Notamacropus eugenii: one gene and its partner. The protein of the gene in region 2 interacts with the protein of the main gene of each other region in a pairwise test. Links are inferred from orthologs where the notes say so. Each region holds a gene or a part of one and is shown on either strand. Other genes may lie near its edges.

Region 1 (8,783 bases), on a different chromosome or scaffold from region 2:
TAAGAGAAAAGTTGATGTAGTCTGATATTCACTGTAGGAAGAACATGTCTCAAAGGGTTCAGACAAAGTATAGTTAAGCATCCTGTGACCTAAATTCTACAAGGGAAGTCATCGCAGGAAGGATGAGAAATTATCAAAAATGAAATCTGGAATTGTGGAGGAACAATCCTGATGGGGAAAAGGAAAGCTTGCCTAAAGAGAACTTTGTATGTGCATCATTAGCCAACCTAATGACGCATGTACATCGCTGAAAAAATATGTGAGCCAAAGGAAACAGGGGCAGGAAGCAAGGAATGAATGTACTGAGAAGAAGTAGAGATTGCCAAGAAAATCTAAGGATGGTCGAAAGAGTGATGAGCAGAGATGTTTCTAAGCTATGTTTTGGGGGAAAAGAAAGTTCAAAGAAAGGCTAGGACCACTACCTGTAAGGGGTGAATGGGGTGATGATAACTAATTACGAGAGAAGACAGAGCTGCCCAGCTCATATTTTATTTGTTTTCCCTGAAAAGGAAAATGAACTTTAAACTGAAAAGGATGGAGCAAAAAATGGCTACTAGGAAGGTGATACTCAAGATAAAAAAAATACTTTGTAAAGGCTAGCTATTGTTATTATTTTACAGATGAAAAAACTGAGGCCCAGAGATGGATTGACTTGCCCAGAGTCATTCAGGTGGTAAGCAGCTATGACAAGCTTCACACCCAAGTGTTATGATTCCAAGATCAATGTAGATTTGCTGATCCTGCTGTATTCTTCCTTGCCTTGGCCAATTAAACCATATAAGAGTATTGTGTTTGATCATGGGCACCAAATTTTGGGAAAAACCTTGATAAACTGAAAAGTATTAAGAAGAAGGTAACTAGGAAAGATCTTGAGACCATGTCCTTTGAGGACTGGTGAAACTGGAGAAGGTTAGCTAAAGAAGAGAAGATGAGGCTTCAGTATTTGAAAAGCTGATGCATTGACTTTTATCGATGTGTTTTGCATGACTACACATGTATAACCTATATCAAAATGCTTGCTTCTCAGTTGGGGGGGGCAGGGAAGAAGAGAGAGAATTTTGAGCTCAAATTTTTTAAAACAAATGTTAAAAATTGTTCTTCATGTAACTGGGGAAAAATAGAATACTAAATACACAAAAATAAAAGAAAAGTTGATTCATGGAAAAGAGATTAGACTTTTTCTTTTCTGGGGCAGGGGGATAATTTAGGAGTATGGAATAAAAAGCAATGGGGAGAAGTGGAAAAAATAGTCAAATCTGGGCTTGATATAAAGAAACTTTCCTAATATTTAAAGCTATCTGAAAGTTGAATGGGCTGCCTTAGGAACTAGAGGCATCCCTCATCATGAGATTATAAATTTAAAGCTGAAAGGGACTTTAGAAAGCCTCAAGTCCAGCCCCTTCATTTTATGAGGAATCTGAGGTGCAGAGAGGTTGTGACTCTCCCACAGTCACACAGGTAGTAAAGGACTGAAAAAGGATTTGAACTAAGGTCAAAAGCTAAGGTCAACTCCAAATTCAAGGTTCGTTCAGAGATCTTGTTCAGGTGTGAGGTGGCCCGGACCACCTTCGAAGTTCTTTGTACCATTGAGATTTTGTGATGCTGGGGCATGCTCAAGCTCACACAGAAAACCAGTGGCAGAGTCCAGATCTTGAAACTTAGAAGGGGATAGGTTACTTGACTCTCCCTGTAGCCAGCAAGGGATAGCCCATGCTCCACCTGATAATGTGACCTGGTGTAAAATAACTGGGGCTATAAAAACCAGACAGTTCTCCAGTGACTTTCATTTTTAAAGTCACAGTCCAGAGGTCATCTTTTTTTTCTTCTACAGGGCCTCTTCATTTGAAGGATCCCGGAGCCTTCTCCAACCTCCCAGTGGGACATCCTCCTTCACCATGGCAGGGCTCTCTATCCCTGTTGGGGTCCCTTTCTCCATCTCAGAATTCCTGCCTGAGCTCTGCTGACCCTAGATCCAACTTCCCCAGTATCCTTAGCATCTGAAGCTTCAGGAGCAGCTTCTCCCACACCGTCCTCCCCCACAGGGACACCAAGTACTCACGCTGCTGTGACAAGGATGCCCCCAGGGTCTGCAGGTCTTTCCTGAGCTGCTCAACATTAGCAGTTAGCTCCCTACTTTTCTTCAAATCCTGTTTCAGCATTGGAATCTGGCTGTTTAAATCCTCAAGCTCTTTCCAAGTGCTCCTCAATACCTGAAGCTGCTCCGTGTCCTGCCTCAGCTTGGCACTTAATAGCTTTATCTGAATATTGGCATTCCCCAGGCTGCGGTTTAGCGTCTGGACCTGGGTACGGGAATCCTCCAGTTTGTTTCTCAGCTTCCTTATCTCAGAGCTGAGAAAGACACTGGTGTTCTCCGCACGGCCTTGGAGCATTTGGACAGAAGTCTTGACATCATTTATCCTTCCCAGTAACTGGGGATCTGGGGAGGAAAAAATTATAAGGTTAGCTGGAGGGTTGACTTGTCTGTTCCAACCCCTTCGTTTCACAGATGAGGAAATGGAGGATCAGAGAGACTAACTGACGTGGCCAGAGTCACACAGGTGGTGTCCAAAGAGGGATTTGAACCCAGCTCTTCTGACCTCAGAAAGTACTTTTTTTCATCATACCCCACTTATGCCTGTGCCTAAGTTATACGGTATAAGGATTCATACAAAGGAATAGCTAACAGTGGGGCTCATAAGAGAAGGGCCACCAGGGGTCACAGACAAGTCCCTAAATGCAGAGAGGTAGGACCAGGGGAGGATGTAGGGAGCCATGAGAATGGGGTACAGGACACAAGCATGTAGTAGGAACCAAAGATGGGGGTACATGAAACTAGTGAAAGAAACATAAGGAGAGAGAGGCAAGGGACTGAAGAAAGAGTCTGGAGGAAAAGGGAAAGTATGGGAATTTGCAGCCAGAGGACAAAGATAAGTAACTTAATTTCTCTGGAGCTCAGTTTCCTCATCTGTAAAATGAGGGAATGGATAGTCACTAATGTCCCTTCTAGCTCTGGATCTTACTGTCAGTTCTGCAGTGGGAGGGCAAAGATGAGCAGACCTGGGAAAGGAGCCTGCAGGAGAAGGAGGAGGAAAAATAAGAAGAAAAGGAGGAGAAGATGCGGGCATACGGGAAAGAGAAATAGGACTAGGAATGGGTGGCTGCCAAGAACAGGACAAAGCCTCAGTGGGGTGAGGAGTAACTTTATCTGTGAGTGTGCAAGGAAGAAGCCCTTCCTCTCCCAAGCTGGGGAAAGGCCAAGAATCATGGGAGTTCAAGGGCATTCACTTACAGAGAATGATCATGGTCAGGAGGAAGACAACAAAACCCACTGCCAACAGAAAAAGAGCCACATAGACAGAAGGCAAGGTCCGTGGGATTGCAGGGGACTCCTTTTTTGGAGGAGGGTCTGTTGGGAGAAGAAAAAAAAGAAAGCAAGTCTGTAGAAGAACCAGGCCCAAATACGCATTAATTAATCAATGAGCTTCCTGTGGGTCAGGCACTATGTTAATTGTCGAGGTTACAAATACAAAGAATGAAACAATCCTTACTCTCAAGAAGCTGGCATTCTGGGACAGTGAGGTAGGTGGCTCAGTGGATAGACCACCATCCTTGGAGTCAGGAATTCAAATCTAGCCTTAGGTACTTACTAGTTATGTGACCCTGGGCTTAGCCCTGCTTGACTCGAAAAAAGAAGACACTGTTATTCTACCAGGAGATCAGCTGGCTTTCTTTATATACCCAGAGTTTGACACATAAAAACACTTAATACTTAACTGAGTTGACAAAAAGTTCATAGGTAAGATTATCTTATTCTATTATTTCTGCATTCTACATTTTATGTATGCATTTCTATATTCTATATATATACTATATTACCTATATTCAGAATACAGAGAATAAATATTATTTATTATTTAAATTTAATAGTAAATTAAAAATTAAATATTTTAAAATGTAAGATATACAAGTTAGCTGGAGAAGAAGGTCAAATACAGGAATGCACAAAAAAGAGGGAATGAGGAAGGTCTGCATGTTTAGGAGAACAGAGTGGACCCTCCTGAACTCACCTCGGGGCCACAGGGAGATATCCTGGTTGTCCACTGTGAAATGGGCCACTTGAATTTCCTTCTCATTTTCCTTCATCCTGGCCTGGGTCACACTGTGTCCTTAGGTACCACTCACAACTGTTGCTTCAAGGGCATCTTTATCTAGAAATAAAAGTGGGAAGTGTCCTCATGAGATACCCTGCCCACCTCAACCCCAAAAGTCCATGCTACATTCACGAGACCAGGTCCAGACCACAACTCCACCCTTTGCCTCCAGACCAGGACCTCAGGGACGTCAGCATGAACCTTTTGTCATGAATCCAACCAAAGACTCCGTCACAGAAAGATTCCCTAAATCCTATCCCTATCCATTTTTTTCTTCTCTTCCCTCCTTCAAAAGACTGCTCAGGGTCTTTTTTTGTGCAGGAAAAAAAGGCAATTCAGAAAGTGCGCATATTGAAGTATGGCTGAACAAATTATAGTATATGAATGCAATGGAAAATCATTGTGCCATAAGAAATTGTGAAATATATGGTCTAAGAAAAAAGTAGGAAGAACTTCATGGACTGGTGAGGAATGAAATGAAACAAACCAAGAAAATGATTTATACAATGAAAATATTACTAATAAAACTTTGAAAGAGATGAGAAGTTTGATCAATATACTGACAAGTTATAATTCTAGAAGACCACAGATGAAGCATCACCTCCTGACAGAGAAGAGAGCAATTCAAAATGTAGACTGTTTTTGTATACGGCCAATGAGGGAATTTGCTTTGCTTGACTTTGTACATTTGTTGTGAGGGTTTTGTGTTTTTCTGTCTTTTTTCTTTTTATTTTGTTTAGTGGTGGGGGATGAGAAGGAAAGAATATAAATGCTTGTTAATTAGGGGAATAAATTAATTTAAAGGTTCCTCAGACTCATGTTCCCTATACTTGTTGCAAGTGAACCTTTCCCACCCCATCTCCTTCCTAAGTAGCTCTTCTCCCACACCTCTACCCTCACCAGCATCCTCCAGGGAAAGATGTCTCAAAGATGAATTTAGACTTGGAAGTGACCTTAGAGCTCATCTAATTTTATGTTCCCATTTTACAAATGAAGAAACTGAGGCCTAGATGAGGTTAAGTGGTTAGCCCAAGGACATTCAGGAAGTAAGTAGGAGAGCCAGGATTTGATTTGCAGATCCTACATTTAAGACCCTGCTATATCATGTTGCCTCTCTGTTAATGTACTTCCATCTTGTGTCTAAAATCAGTGTGGTCTATTTCCATTAGACCTAAGCTCCCTAAGGATAGGATAATGTCTAACTCTTTGACTGTATTCACCAAGAGTGAGCATGTCCACAATCACATCAGGGGCGGCCAGAACAAGGGAGTTCTGTGTCCTTTCTTTAAAGTAGGGGATTTTTTTCTATCTTTTCATCCAGTGTCTAATAGAAAGATCCACCTTCAATAGTTTCTTCAGACAGAGGAGACAAATAGAGAATTTCAAGTCTCCTTTGAGCTGAATGAAAGACTGTTTTCTCCAGACAGCTTCTTTTGCTGTTGGCCAAGGTGTGTATAGAAAAGGGAGAGAGGAAGGAGTATGTCATTGGAGGAGTTGTTCTGACAGCTGCCTGAGGGCTTCTGCTGTCTTTAAACTAAAGTAACTCATGCCATTGCATGAGCCTGACTGGACTTTAAAGGGTTACGTTTGGTCTTTGATAAGGCTTCTCTATGGTCAGTGTTATTTGGTAAGGACATCTGAAGAGGAAGTCGAATGGAATGTCAAGACCACCACACCTCTAGACTTGAGGTCAAAAGACATGAGTTCAAATCCTGGCTCTATCACTTGCTACCTGGGTAATTTTAGAATAGTCACTTCCTCTTTCGAGGGTCTCTGTTTCTCTATAAAATGAATGACTTGATCAAATTTTCTCTGTGTTTCTTTTCAGTCTTAATCATGTATGATTCCATGATTCCAGACCCGAGTGACGAGGCTACACCCAAAGTAGCCAGCCGTCAGTGGAAAGCAGAGGGAATAAACTCTGGCCCTAGCTCTACTATTGTCCTTCATTTTTCTTGTTTAATCCTTTCATGCTTTGAACCTGTATTAATTTCCTGGATTATCCTTAGATTGTTTTTCATCTTGTCTCTCTTCTACTTCCCCAGACTGAACTCCTGGGTAAAATATCGTGTTTTGAATTCAGCCACCACCCTGGTGCTTCCTCTGTATAAAAACTATGCTAATTCATTGCTGTAGCCCTGAACTTGCCTGGAGCATAGCAGGGACTCAGAAACACCTTGTGACCTGGGACTTTTTGCTTGGGTTCCTGACCCCCAAAGCCCAGAATGCCTCCTTGTTCTAACTTTGGATACCCTGCTGATGTTTCTAGCCTTTCCTTGCTCTGGCTTTGGATCACTGTGTTCACTGGGTGCCCACCTGGCCCATCAAGTTCACTTTGACCTCAGCTTTTGTGTGTATATGTGTGCTCATTAGAGTATGAGGCTCAATATAGAAATAAATTGACTGGTTTCAGGGAGGAAGGGATGCTTTTAGTGCCTTTCCTTCCCCATTCACTCCTTTGTCCCTTCCTTCTTTCATTCATCATTTATTCAACCCCTATTTCATGCATCCCTTGGGGTCCCCATCTGAAGGAGGGTATAGAAGAGGAGAATAAGGAAGCAGAGAGGAAGATCATAGAAGAATGTAGAGCTAGATGCAGTATTAAACATCCCCTAGCCCATTCCCTTCACTTTAGAGAAAAGGAAAATGAAGTTCAGAGAAGAAAGATAAGTTTTCTAAGATCACATAGATAATAAATACCAAAACTAGAATTTCAAACCAGGTCCTCCAAGTCAAAATTTATTGCTTTCCTTTTTATATGAGAAGCAAGAAAAAAAAGTGCAGAAAGAGAAATAAGAAGACTCATATTCCTTTACAACTTACAAACCTATGACAAGATTGAGTTATTTCAGGAAAAGAGGGATAATTCAATATTACAACAACTATAAATATAACTGATCATATTAGTAATAAAAACAATAAAATCACATGATAATATCAATAGATGGGAAAAAGCCTTTGACAAAATGTAGCATTCATTTATGTTTTTAAAAAGCAGTAAAAATCATGGAAATAAATAGAACTTTCCTAATATGATAAGCAATACTTTTCTAAAGCCAAGGACTATCATTATTTTTGATACTAATATTTTTCCAGTAAGATGGTAGTAAATTTTTTTAAATGCCCCTTTTTACCATTGTTTGGTATCATTCTAAAAATTCTAACTACAGTAATAATAAAAGAAAAGAAGTCTGAAAAATAGGCTGAAAGAAGGAAAATTATCTCTATTTTCAAATGACATAACTTTTTTAGAGAATCCTAGAAATTTTATAAAAAATCAGAACAATTAAAAACTTCAATAAAGTAGTATTATGACATAAACCCACAAAATCATCATATTATTAATAAAAGCTGTCAGAAAGAGATTTTTAAAAATTCCATTCAAAATAGTGACAAAACACATAAAATTTCTGAACAATAACCCATCAAGACACACTCAGGATTTATATGATTGCAACTTCAAGACGTTCTTTATAGAAATTAAGGAATATGTAAACAATTGAGCAGATAGTCATTGTGTATGTTTGGGTCATGCCAACATAATAAAAGTAATTATACTACCCAAATTAATTACAGATTTATACTCTACCCATCAAAATCTCAAGGGATCACTTTATATAGGATTATATTTACCCTATAAAGGATTTTATTTTTATTAGTAGACAAAATAATGAAATTCATCTAAATAAACAAAATAGTAAGAATCTCAAGGTAAATAGTGAGGACATAGCATTGCCAAACCTTAAACTACAATATAAAACAGTAATCATTGAAACTATTGGGTATGTGCTTAAAAAGTAGAAAAGTTGATCAGTGGAACAGACAAGGTAAATCAGTCCCAGAAGCAATCAAATATGCTAGCTGATAAACTATCTGATAAATGCCAAAATACAAACTACTGGGTTAAGGATTCCTTATTTGATAAGAAATTGCTAGGAGAACTAGTTTGGCTCCAAATGCATGACCTAAACTATAAAAGATCATACCACAACAAAAAGAGATGTGTGGGAAAAGATCCCTTTTATAATTATGAATTCTTGATTAAGAAGGAATAGAAATGTTGATAAGAAATAAAAGAAATAACTTTCATTACATAAAATTAGAAAGTTTTACATGGAGAAAATAAATTCAGAATGAATGTGAAGCTACAAATTGGGGAATAAAAACTTCAAAGCAAATATCTCTGATAAAGGTCTGTTATTCAAGATACATAGGGAATTCATGAAAATATAGAATAACAAGAACTGTACCCCAGTAGGTATAGTGATCACAGGGAAAGAATGTTCCAAATCACCAATTATACACACACACACACACACATACACACACGCATGCACATATGGCATATAATATACATACAGAAATATTTATAATAGCATTTTTGTGGCAGCAAAGAACTGGAAGCAAATTGTATACCTATTGATTGGGGAATGGTTGGACAAATCATGGCATATGACTCTAATTGAAAATTATTTTCATCATGAAAATGACAAATACAAAGAATTCAGGAAAACGGGAAAACTTGTATGAACTATGGCCAAGTGAAATGAGCAGAACCAGAAGACAGTTTACACAGTGAACACAAAAATAGAAAGAAAAACAACACTGAAAGACACCAGAACTCTCCCAATG
Region 2 (9,065 bases):
AAAATAAAAATGAGTAAGCAAAGGAGAAAGAATCTGACCATAGAGAACTGCTATGGGGATAGAGAACGTCTAGGTGAATATTCAGAGGAAGATAGAAAAGTTAAAAAAAGCCAATCTTAACTGAAAGAGAAACGTCAAATAGTCACAAGTCACAAGTTCAAAAAAAAAAAAGTTCTGGGAAGAACTTATAAAGGACTTCAAAAATCAAATTAGAGAGATTAAAGAAAAAATAGGAAAAAAATTAAGAGCAATCCAAGGAAATAAAAAAAAAATGAGAAGAAAGTCAACCAATTGGAAAAAAAAGTCCAAAAACTCAAGGAAGAAAATAACTACTTGAAAACTAGAACTGGGCAAGGGGAAGCTAATGACATTATAAGACAGCAGGAAATAATAAAACAAAATCAAGAGAATAAAAAAATATGCAACATCTTATTAGGAAAACAAGTGATTTGGAGAACAGATCAAGGAGAGAGAACATAAGAATTGTTGGATTACCTGAACGTTATGACAAAAAGAGTCTTGATACAGTATTACAAGAAATTGCTTTGAAGTTTTAGAACTGGAGGGTTAAGTAAATAGAAAGAATCCACTGTTCACTATCTGAAGGAAATTCCAAGATGAAAACTTACAGGAATATCATAGTCGAAATTAGGAGAGGTTAAAGAGAAAATACTACAAGCAATAAGAAAAACAATTTAAATTACTATGGAGCTACAATCAGGATCACACAAGATTTAGCAGCTTCTACATTAAAAGACTATGGGTCTTGGAACATAATATTTGAAGAGCAAAAGAGTTGCGGGTGTGAGCAAAAATAACTTTCTCAGTAAAACTGAATGTAATCTTGAACAATAATAACAAGAACAATATTCAATGAACTGAAAGACTTTCAGGTATTTGTGACAAAAAGACCGCAGCTCAATGGAAAATTTGACATATAAGATTCATAAAGTAAATATTAAAGACCAATTATAAGGGACTTAATAAGGTCAAATTGCTTATATGTGAAAATATTTGAATACTCTTAAGACTGTCATTAGGTAGCTTGAAAGAAAGGTTTGGACTCAGTTGAGTAAGATGGGTTAATTTTAAAAAATAAGACTGGGCAAGAAGAGGTAAAAAAGAGCAATTATCTCATACAAATGAGGAGTGAGTGAAAGAAAGAACTAAGATAGAGGTGAGTCAGGGTGGAGGACTGGTAGTGCTGGAATGTTACTCTCATCAGAACTAGGTTATAAAGGGAACAACATATACATCTAGGAGGATATAAAGGTCCTATAAATTTATAAAGAAATAAGAGGGTAATGGAAAATGATAAGATAGGGACTCTAAGGGGGGGTGAGTAGATTAAGGAACAGAAGGGCAAGGTAGAGGTTAGAAGTAAATTGGTTGTGTAATAGGATAAATAGTGAGGAAAAATAGGATGGAGGGAAATATGCATGCAGTAATTATAACTTTGAATGTGAATGCAATGAATTTACCCATAAAATGGAAATGGATAGCAGAACGGATTAAAATCAAAATCGGGCAATACATTGTTTACAAGAAACATAATTGAAAATGAGAGACAGAGTTAAAATAAAACACTGAAGTAGAATTTACTGTTTCATCTGATATTAAAAAAGTAGGTATAGCAATCGTGATTTCATACAAGGTTAAAGCTAATATAGACTTAATTAAAAGCAATAAACAGGGAAACTACACTATGTCACCAATATTATTCAATATTGTTTTAGAAATGAGAGAAGAAAAAGAAATTGAAGGAATCAGAATGGAAAATGAAGTAATAAAGTATCTCTTTTTACAGACTGTAAGATGATATATTTGGAAAATCCTAAAGATTTAACTAAAAAATTAGTTGAAATAGGTAATAATTTTAGCAAACTAGTAGGATATAAAATAAACCTACATACACCATCAGCATTTTTATATACAACCAACAAAATTCTGCAAGAAGAGATAACCCATTTAAAATAATTCTAGACATTATTAAATACCTGAGTATACCTGCCAAAACAGACCCAGGAATGGCATAAACATAATTATAAAACACTTCACACAAATAAAGCCAGACTTAAATGATTGGAGAAATAGTAATTGCTCAAGGGTAGTCAAAGTCAATATAATAAAAATGACAATTTAACCTAACTAATCTATCTATTCAATTCCATCCCAATTAAATTGCTAAAAAATTCTTTACTGAGCTAGAAAAAAAAATAACAAAACTCATTTGGAAGAACAAAAGGTTAAAAAATTTCAAAAAAACTAATGAAAAAATATAAAGGAATGTTCAGCTGTACCAGACCCCAAACTATAGTATAAGGCAGTAAATATCAAACCTACCTAGTACTGGCTAAGAGACAGAAAGGTAGATCAATGGAATAGAGTAGACATACAATACACAGTAACAAAGGATTATAGTAATCTTTTGTCTGATCCATGTAAAGATTTTAGCTTTTGCAATAAGAAGTCATTATTTGGTAAAAATTGGTGGGAAAGCTGAAAGCAGTTTCACAGAAATTGGGCATAGATCAATATCTTAGCCCATGTCATAAGGTCAACATGGAACATATTGCCTAGAAGATTCATGAACAGGAGAACAATTTGAGATAGAGATTATTGTGAATTGTAAAGTGGACAACATCAATTATATGAAATGAAGAAAGTTCTTGTACAAACAAAAACAATGTAGCCAATATCAGAAGGAAAGCAGAAAACAGGGAAAAAAAATTTGGGGGACAGTTTCTTAGATAAAGGTCTTGTTTTTCAAATATATAAAGAACTTTGTCAATTAGCACATCTATTTGAGTTATAAAATTGTTGCTAACTAATAATAATGGTAAAATGGAAATAACCATACTTTTGGTAGTTAGCTCACAGAACTATTTTGAAAATCAAATAAAATAACACATGTACAGTACATTGCAAACTTGAAATGCTACTATTATCAATATATTTTAGTTAGCTTTGTCAAATTTATAAGAATGAGTCATTCCCTAATTGATAAATGTAGAGGAAAAACCAAAGCTAATTAAAATCACTATATCCCTAATGAGTAGTTGAGCCAGAGAGCAATCCCCCTCCCATATCTATTGAATATGTATAGGAAAAAAATGGTTATTTTTCTGAATCTCTAAATGTATCTGTAATTCCAGCTATTTGTTTCTGCTTTATCTACCTAGCTGAAACTGAGGAAAGGGTCAAATTTTTTGTCAATGTTAGTGAACACATTCCAACTCCTGTTCTTTAACATTGAGTAGTAATTTTTATTATATTCTCTCTGAAAATACCATATTTTTAGGTTATGTACTTCTGAAAATTTGGCACATCTTTCCCATGTCTGCTTTCTTCTTTGGCTTAAATTTTATTTCATATCAAGAAGAAAGATAAAATATAGTGTTAATGATAGTGTGGAGGTTGTGAAGTTTGAGTCTACTTCTTTTGGATCTGTGGGATAAGGAGAATAGCCTGGATGAGACAGTCACATGAAAGAGTAAAGAATACCAAATTCCAAAAGACTTATAGTGGAAAATGCTATCTACATCCAGAGGAAGAACTGTGGGGTCAGGATGTTTATTGAAACATACTATTCTTTTTGTGGCTTTCCCCTTTTGTTCTGTTTCTTCTTTTACAGCATGAATAATGTAGAAATATATTTATACGATTGCACATGTATGACCTATATTGGATTGTTTGCTGTCTTGGGGAGGGGGGATGGGAGGGAAGGAGAAAGAAAAAGTTTGAAACTCAAAATTTTACTAAAAATGAATGTTGAAAACTATCTTTATATGTAATTAGAAAAATAAAATACTATTTACCAAAATAAAAAAACAAAAATAGACAAATGAAATAAGAAAAAAAAAAGAACGTCCAATTGTCGGTACTTACCTCAGAAACACGGATCCAGGGCTGTCTGCTGTACTAAGCTCCTCACTCAGACCCCTCTGACTGCTTAGATTTTCAAAATGAAAAACAGTATCACTAGACAATTGTCTTTTCTTCGCCATTGTGTGTGTGAGTTGCAAAAGTCAAGAAAGAAGCTTGAAACAATCATGGACACTCTGAAATGAGCATAGATGAGCGGTGTTCTGTCACTTCAGGAGTTCTCTTAGAGTGACCTCTAATCTACATTAGGCCTCTTAAAAAAGTTAATGAGTAACAGTAAGCTTGGAGTGGTTTCCTTTTACCCATATTTTTTCATAGGCAAAATATCAACTGATCCCAGATGCCTATTATTAGCCATATTAGCACTTTTGGAAATCTGTAACCATGGAAAATAAATGGGAAAAATCTGTTCATTGAACTTTGAAACAGAATTTAATTAGGAAACTAGAGATATCCAAAACACTACAAGCAAATCAAAAGACTTTTAAAATAACTATCCAAAGGAGTAGTAATGGGCTAAAAATCCTTGAATTTCCTTTACACTTGGCCTTTCTAGAGAATGTAACTTGGAAAAATGCATAGAAAAGAAGCTGCGGTCCTTTGTGTCAGTTCTTGTGGAGGTTTTACATAGAAAATTAGGACTTATTCAATATGTAAGTTGTATGTTTTTCTTTGTAAGCATTTTAAACACTGAATCCATAGGCGTTTGAGCTGAATGAGAGAATCTCTTTAATTCAGCTGAATAAGAATCCCTATCCTATAGTTCAGAAACAATACTGCAATTCTTCTACAAACAAAAAGGGCCCTGATTCACTCTGAACAGCTCTGAGTGCTGAGCTCTTTTTATAGAGGCAGCATGATGTGGTGGAAAGAGCACAAGAATTTGGACTCAGAAGACTTTGGCATCTGCCATTTATTAGCTGTGACTTAGTGCATGTTATTCTACAGAGTCTGCTTTCCTGGAAGGCAGTGTGGCTTCCGGGAGAGTACTTAGTCAATAAGCCCTGTCTTCAAGACATGCTTCTGGCTCTTAGGCTAAGTCACTTCACTCTATGTAAAATGGATAAAAATATTAGTGTCTACCTCACAGCGCTGCTGTGAAACTAGAATGAGAAAAAACATCTAAAGGCCTTTGAAAACTTTGCCACTCTATGAATATCATTTATTACTCATTAAATAGGATCAGTAATAGTCTACATTGTTCAATCAACCAACAAGCATTATTAAGAACTTGCTACCCACGGGGGATACAAAAATGAAACCCTCAAGATTTCAAAAAATAAATGCCCTCAAGGATCATACATTTTATTGAGGTAGACAACATGTACCTATATAAATGTAGGGTTTGTGTGTTGCCTGTGTAAGTTATATGTATGTTTACATACCAAGGAGGCATGAATAAGATATCCCTGGAGTCTCATCTGCTCCTCTCCATGGGAAACTTTGATTCCTGCCTAAAGGGAAAAAATGTTTAGGGCCAAAAGGCTGGCCCACTCAACTATCCTCAGGAAGGGCTGGTCTAGAATTATATCTTTCTGCCCCCCTTCCTTAAATATGGCTAGTCCAGGGGAAGTGAGTTTTTGTGTTAACCCTATTTTTCTTTTTTTCTGTCCCTTAAGGGAGAAAGAATGTCCAAACTTTGTCAAAGGATAAACTCCTTTCCCATCAATTGCCAGTTACAGAAAGACCTTTACAAAGGTGAATAACAAATAAACATATTAGGCAATTCACTTAGTAATTGATCTCTCCCTGTAGGAGGAAGATCTGAGTGTGTGTGTGTGTGTGTGTGTGTGTGTGAGAGAGAGAGAGACAGAGAGACAGAGAGACAGAGAGAGAGACAGAGGAGAGAGACAGAGAGAGACAGAGAGAGAGAGACAGAGAGAGACAGAGAAAGAGAGAGAGAGAGAGAGAGAGACAGAGAGACAGAGACAGAGAGAGACAGAGACAGAGAGACAGAGAGACAGAGAGGGAGAGAGAGAAATGCTCAATCAGTTTCACCAGGAGATATTCCTTGATGTTTCTAAGGCATCAAACTGAGGCACATCCTGATTTCTTCTTGGAGGTTTCCCCCCACTGCTCCAAGATAACCTGGTACTGAGGGATTGTTTTTGCCTTCCTTTGTAATCTTAAAGCAGCATAACACATGGCACATGATGACTGCTTAAAAAATGTTTGTTGGCCTTACTCTTCTATATCCTTTGACACTGTTGACCATTCCCTTCTTTTGGATTTTTTTTCTTTTTTGCATTTTTGTGATACTGCTCTGTCTTCATTCTTGTTCAGTTTATTTGTCCATTCCTTCTCCTCCTTTGCTGATCTATCATTCATATCATGTTTTTATCTGTAGGTATACCCCAAGATACTGGTCTTCTCTTTTCTCTCTACTTTATCACTTGATGGGCTTCTCAGTTCTCATGGGTTTAATTGCGATGTCTATGTAGAAGACTTAGAGAGGTATAAATCCAGCCCTACTCTTTTTTTCCCCTGAGTTTGAGTTGTGTATCTCCAACAGTCTATTGAATATTTCAAGTGAAATATAACGCAAGTATTTCAGACTCAACAAATCCAAAATAGAAATCATCTTTCTCCTAAAATCTACCAGTTACCCAGGTTTGCAGCTTTCATTCTTTCCTTCACCTTAAAGTTTGTCTCTCTGCTCACTTCAGCTCATGCCTTTATAATAACATCTGGGCCATTTCAATGGTCTCCTAATCAATCTCCTTGTTTGTCTTCCCCACTATCCAATCCATCCTCCCCACAAACTGCCAAAGTCATTTCCCAATGGAAATATAAATCTTACAGTTGATGATAAACACTAATGGCTCTTTTGCTTCTATGACCAAATACCAGCACCTTTATTTGACATGAAAGCTTTTCATAACCTGATGCCAGCCTACTTGTATCATATTACTATACTTTACTCCTCCTCCCACCCTCTATGGTCCAGCCAAACTTGCCTTCTTGCATTCTTCACATGTGACAATCTATCCCTCATCAACAGGCTTTTGCATTATCAGACCCCTCCACTCTACCTGCACTCTCTCCTAACCTTTTCCTTCAAGACTCAGTTTAATCCCCAATTTGAAAGGGAAGCTTTTCCTGACACTCCCAGTTCCTTGTGTCTTCTCTATGCCCAAATACCTTATATTTATTTTATTCACATTTTGTGTATCCTTGTGTAACTCAGGGTTGTCTTTGGTTGTGAGTCTGAGAGACTAAGAGGATGGTGCTGCCATCTATAGTAATAGAAAAAGTAGGAAGGGGAGAGGGTTCAAGGCGAGAGATAATGAGTTCCTTTTTGGACATACTGAGTTTAAGATGCTTCCTGGACATCCAATTTGAGCCATCTGAAAGGCCGTTGGACATGTGAAATAGGACTTGGACGATTCATGGTCATCTAAGAATGCAATCAAACTTTATTGAATACTGAAATGATTCATATTCATCCAAGTATGCAATCAAACTTTATTGACTATAAAAACAAAGGTTCCAGTAAATGTCTTATTCATGAGAAAGTTCCCTTCCTACTCATCCAAAGGCAATATATCTCCCTACAAGGTAACATTCTGACAAGTTTCTGCAATTGGTACTACCTTCAAGTGTACATAGGATGCTCAATCTTATGTGTGTGAAGAACACGAGTCTATCCTAGTCTTGACTTAGAAACAGACTGATGACTGGGACCTCTAGTAGTTTTAAATATTTTTGTCTATGAGTGTTTCTAAGTTACACATAGTTCTGATTTGTGATTGAGTATCTGTACCTATGATGAAAGGAAACTATCAACCAAAACTTCAGTTTCCTAATTTCAATAGTAAGTGTTTATCAGTTGTTTAACAAGTTAAGAACACATGCAAACATCATAAGAAGTGATTTGGGAGATGTATATTCTGACATATGTCATTACCAAACTCTGCACAAATACTTATTACAGAAAAACAACATATAATAATTACTTGGTCACAAAATGGAGGCTTAACACAAAACCTAGTTGATGAAGCTAAGTTATCTTATTCCCATAACATTCATTCTGAGATATCCAATAGGCGATCTCATCAAGATGAAGATTGAGAATAGGGCATTAGATCTGGCGATTAAGAGGGTTAGGGATGATTTTCTAATACCATTGACTCAAGGCCCCACTGGTTTACTTCTCCCAAAATTATCAGTTGAGAATCATTTAGTCAGTCAGCCTAAAATCCTTAAAAAAAATTTTTTCTAAAGAAAAGTGGTACAATAAGAAGAGCTAATACAAAACACATCCCCTCCTCCTCTCCCAATCTATGGCAAACTCTTTCCCAATTGTCTACAGAGACAAGTAGGAAGTAGATTCAGGCTTAGAGAAAACACAGGATAACTAACAAAGTCTAATAGCTACACGTCCTTTTCTTCCATTTGCGGGATACTCCAATAGCATGTTAAATCTATTTCTTCCTGCCCTTAGCTCCTAGTGTCAACGGGAGGTCCAATATCCTTTAGATCCTTTGAAGTTTGAGAAGTCCTCCTTTGCCCAAAGGTGAGGGAAGGTAAGGGGGAGAGATCTGGCCATGGGACTCTGGAATGTAAAGAATATGAAGGGCTAGCAAGAAAATGAGACAAAATAGGCTGACCCCCTTTTTTAGAGGTCAGGCTCTCCCAGGAGTGAACCTAATTTATATATACTTGAAAGGGGTCCCTTATTGGAGGACAGTGTACAGTACTAAAATCACCCACTTGTGTGTCCTGGTTTTTAAAGATTTTAAATGTTTTAATAGTATTTTATCTTTTTCCAATTACATGAAAAGATGATTTTTAATGTTTATTTAATTTTTTTTGAGTTCCCAATTTTCTCTTTCCGTCCTTAACCCTCCCATCTCCCTAAAAAGGCAAGAAATTTGACATGTTATATATATGCAATCATATAAAACATATTTCCATATTAGTTGTGTTGTGAGAAAAGAAACAGACAAAAAGGAAAAAAATAAAGTGAAAATAGCATGCTTTGATCTGCATTCAGAGTATATCAGCTCTTTTTCTGGATGTGGATAGTGTTTTCCATCCTGAATCCTTTGAAATTTTCTTGGATTATTGTATTGCTGAGAAGAGCTAAGTTATTCATAGTTGATTATCTCACAATGTCACTATTCCTGTGCACAATGTTCTCTTGGTTCTGGTCACTTCACTTTGCATCAGTTCACATA

What was found.
Region 1: the proteins of GRAMD2B (region 2) and CD207 interact in binary tests that used the Homo sapiens proteins (3 or more experiments, as listed by UniProt). The two-hybrid records come from large-scale screens. The link is inferred for Notamacropus eugenii from reciprocal best matches to the Homo sapiens genes GRAMD2B and CD207.

Annotation. Positions count from the first base shown.
Region 1 is NC_092877.1:47,059,798-47,068,580, reverse strand, and holds the start of CD207 (C-type lectin domain family 4 member K), read right to left. Parts: upstream 4,179-8,783; 5' UTR 4,144-4,178; coding exon 4,068-4,143; intron 3,407-4,067; coding exon 3,290-3,406; intron 2,438-3,289; coding exon 2,060-2,437; intron 1-2,059. UniProt on the Homo sapiens protein: Calcium-dependent lectin displaying mannose-binding specificity. Induces the formation of Birbeck granules (BGs); is a potent regulator of membrane superimposition and zippering.
Region 2 is NC_092874.1:348,594,096-348,603,160, forward strand, and holds the start of GRAMD2B (GRAM domain-containing protein 2B), read right to left. Parts: upstream 4,101-9,065; 5' UTR 4,008-4,100; coding exon 3,889-4,007; intron 1-3,888.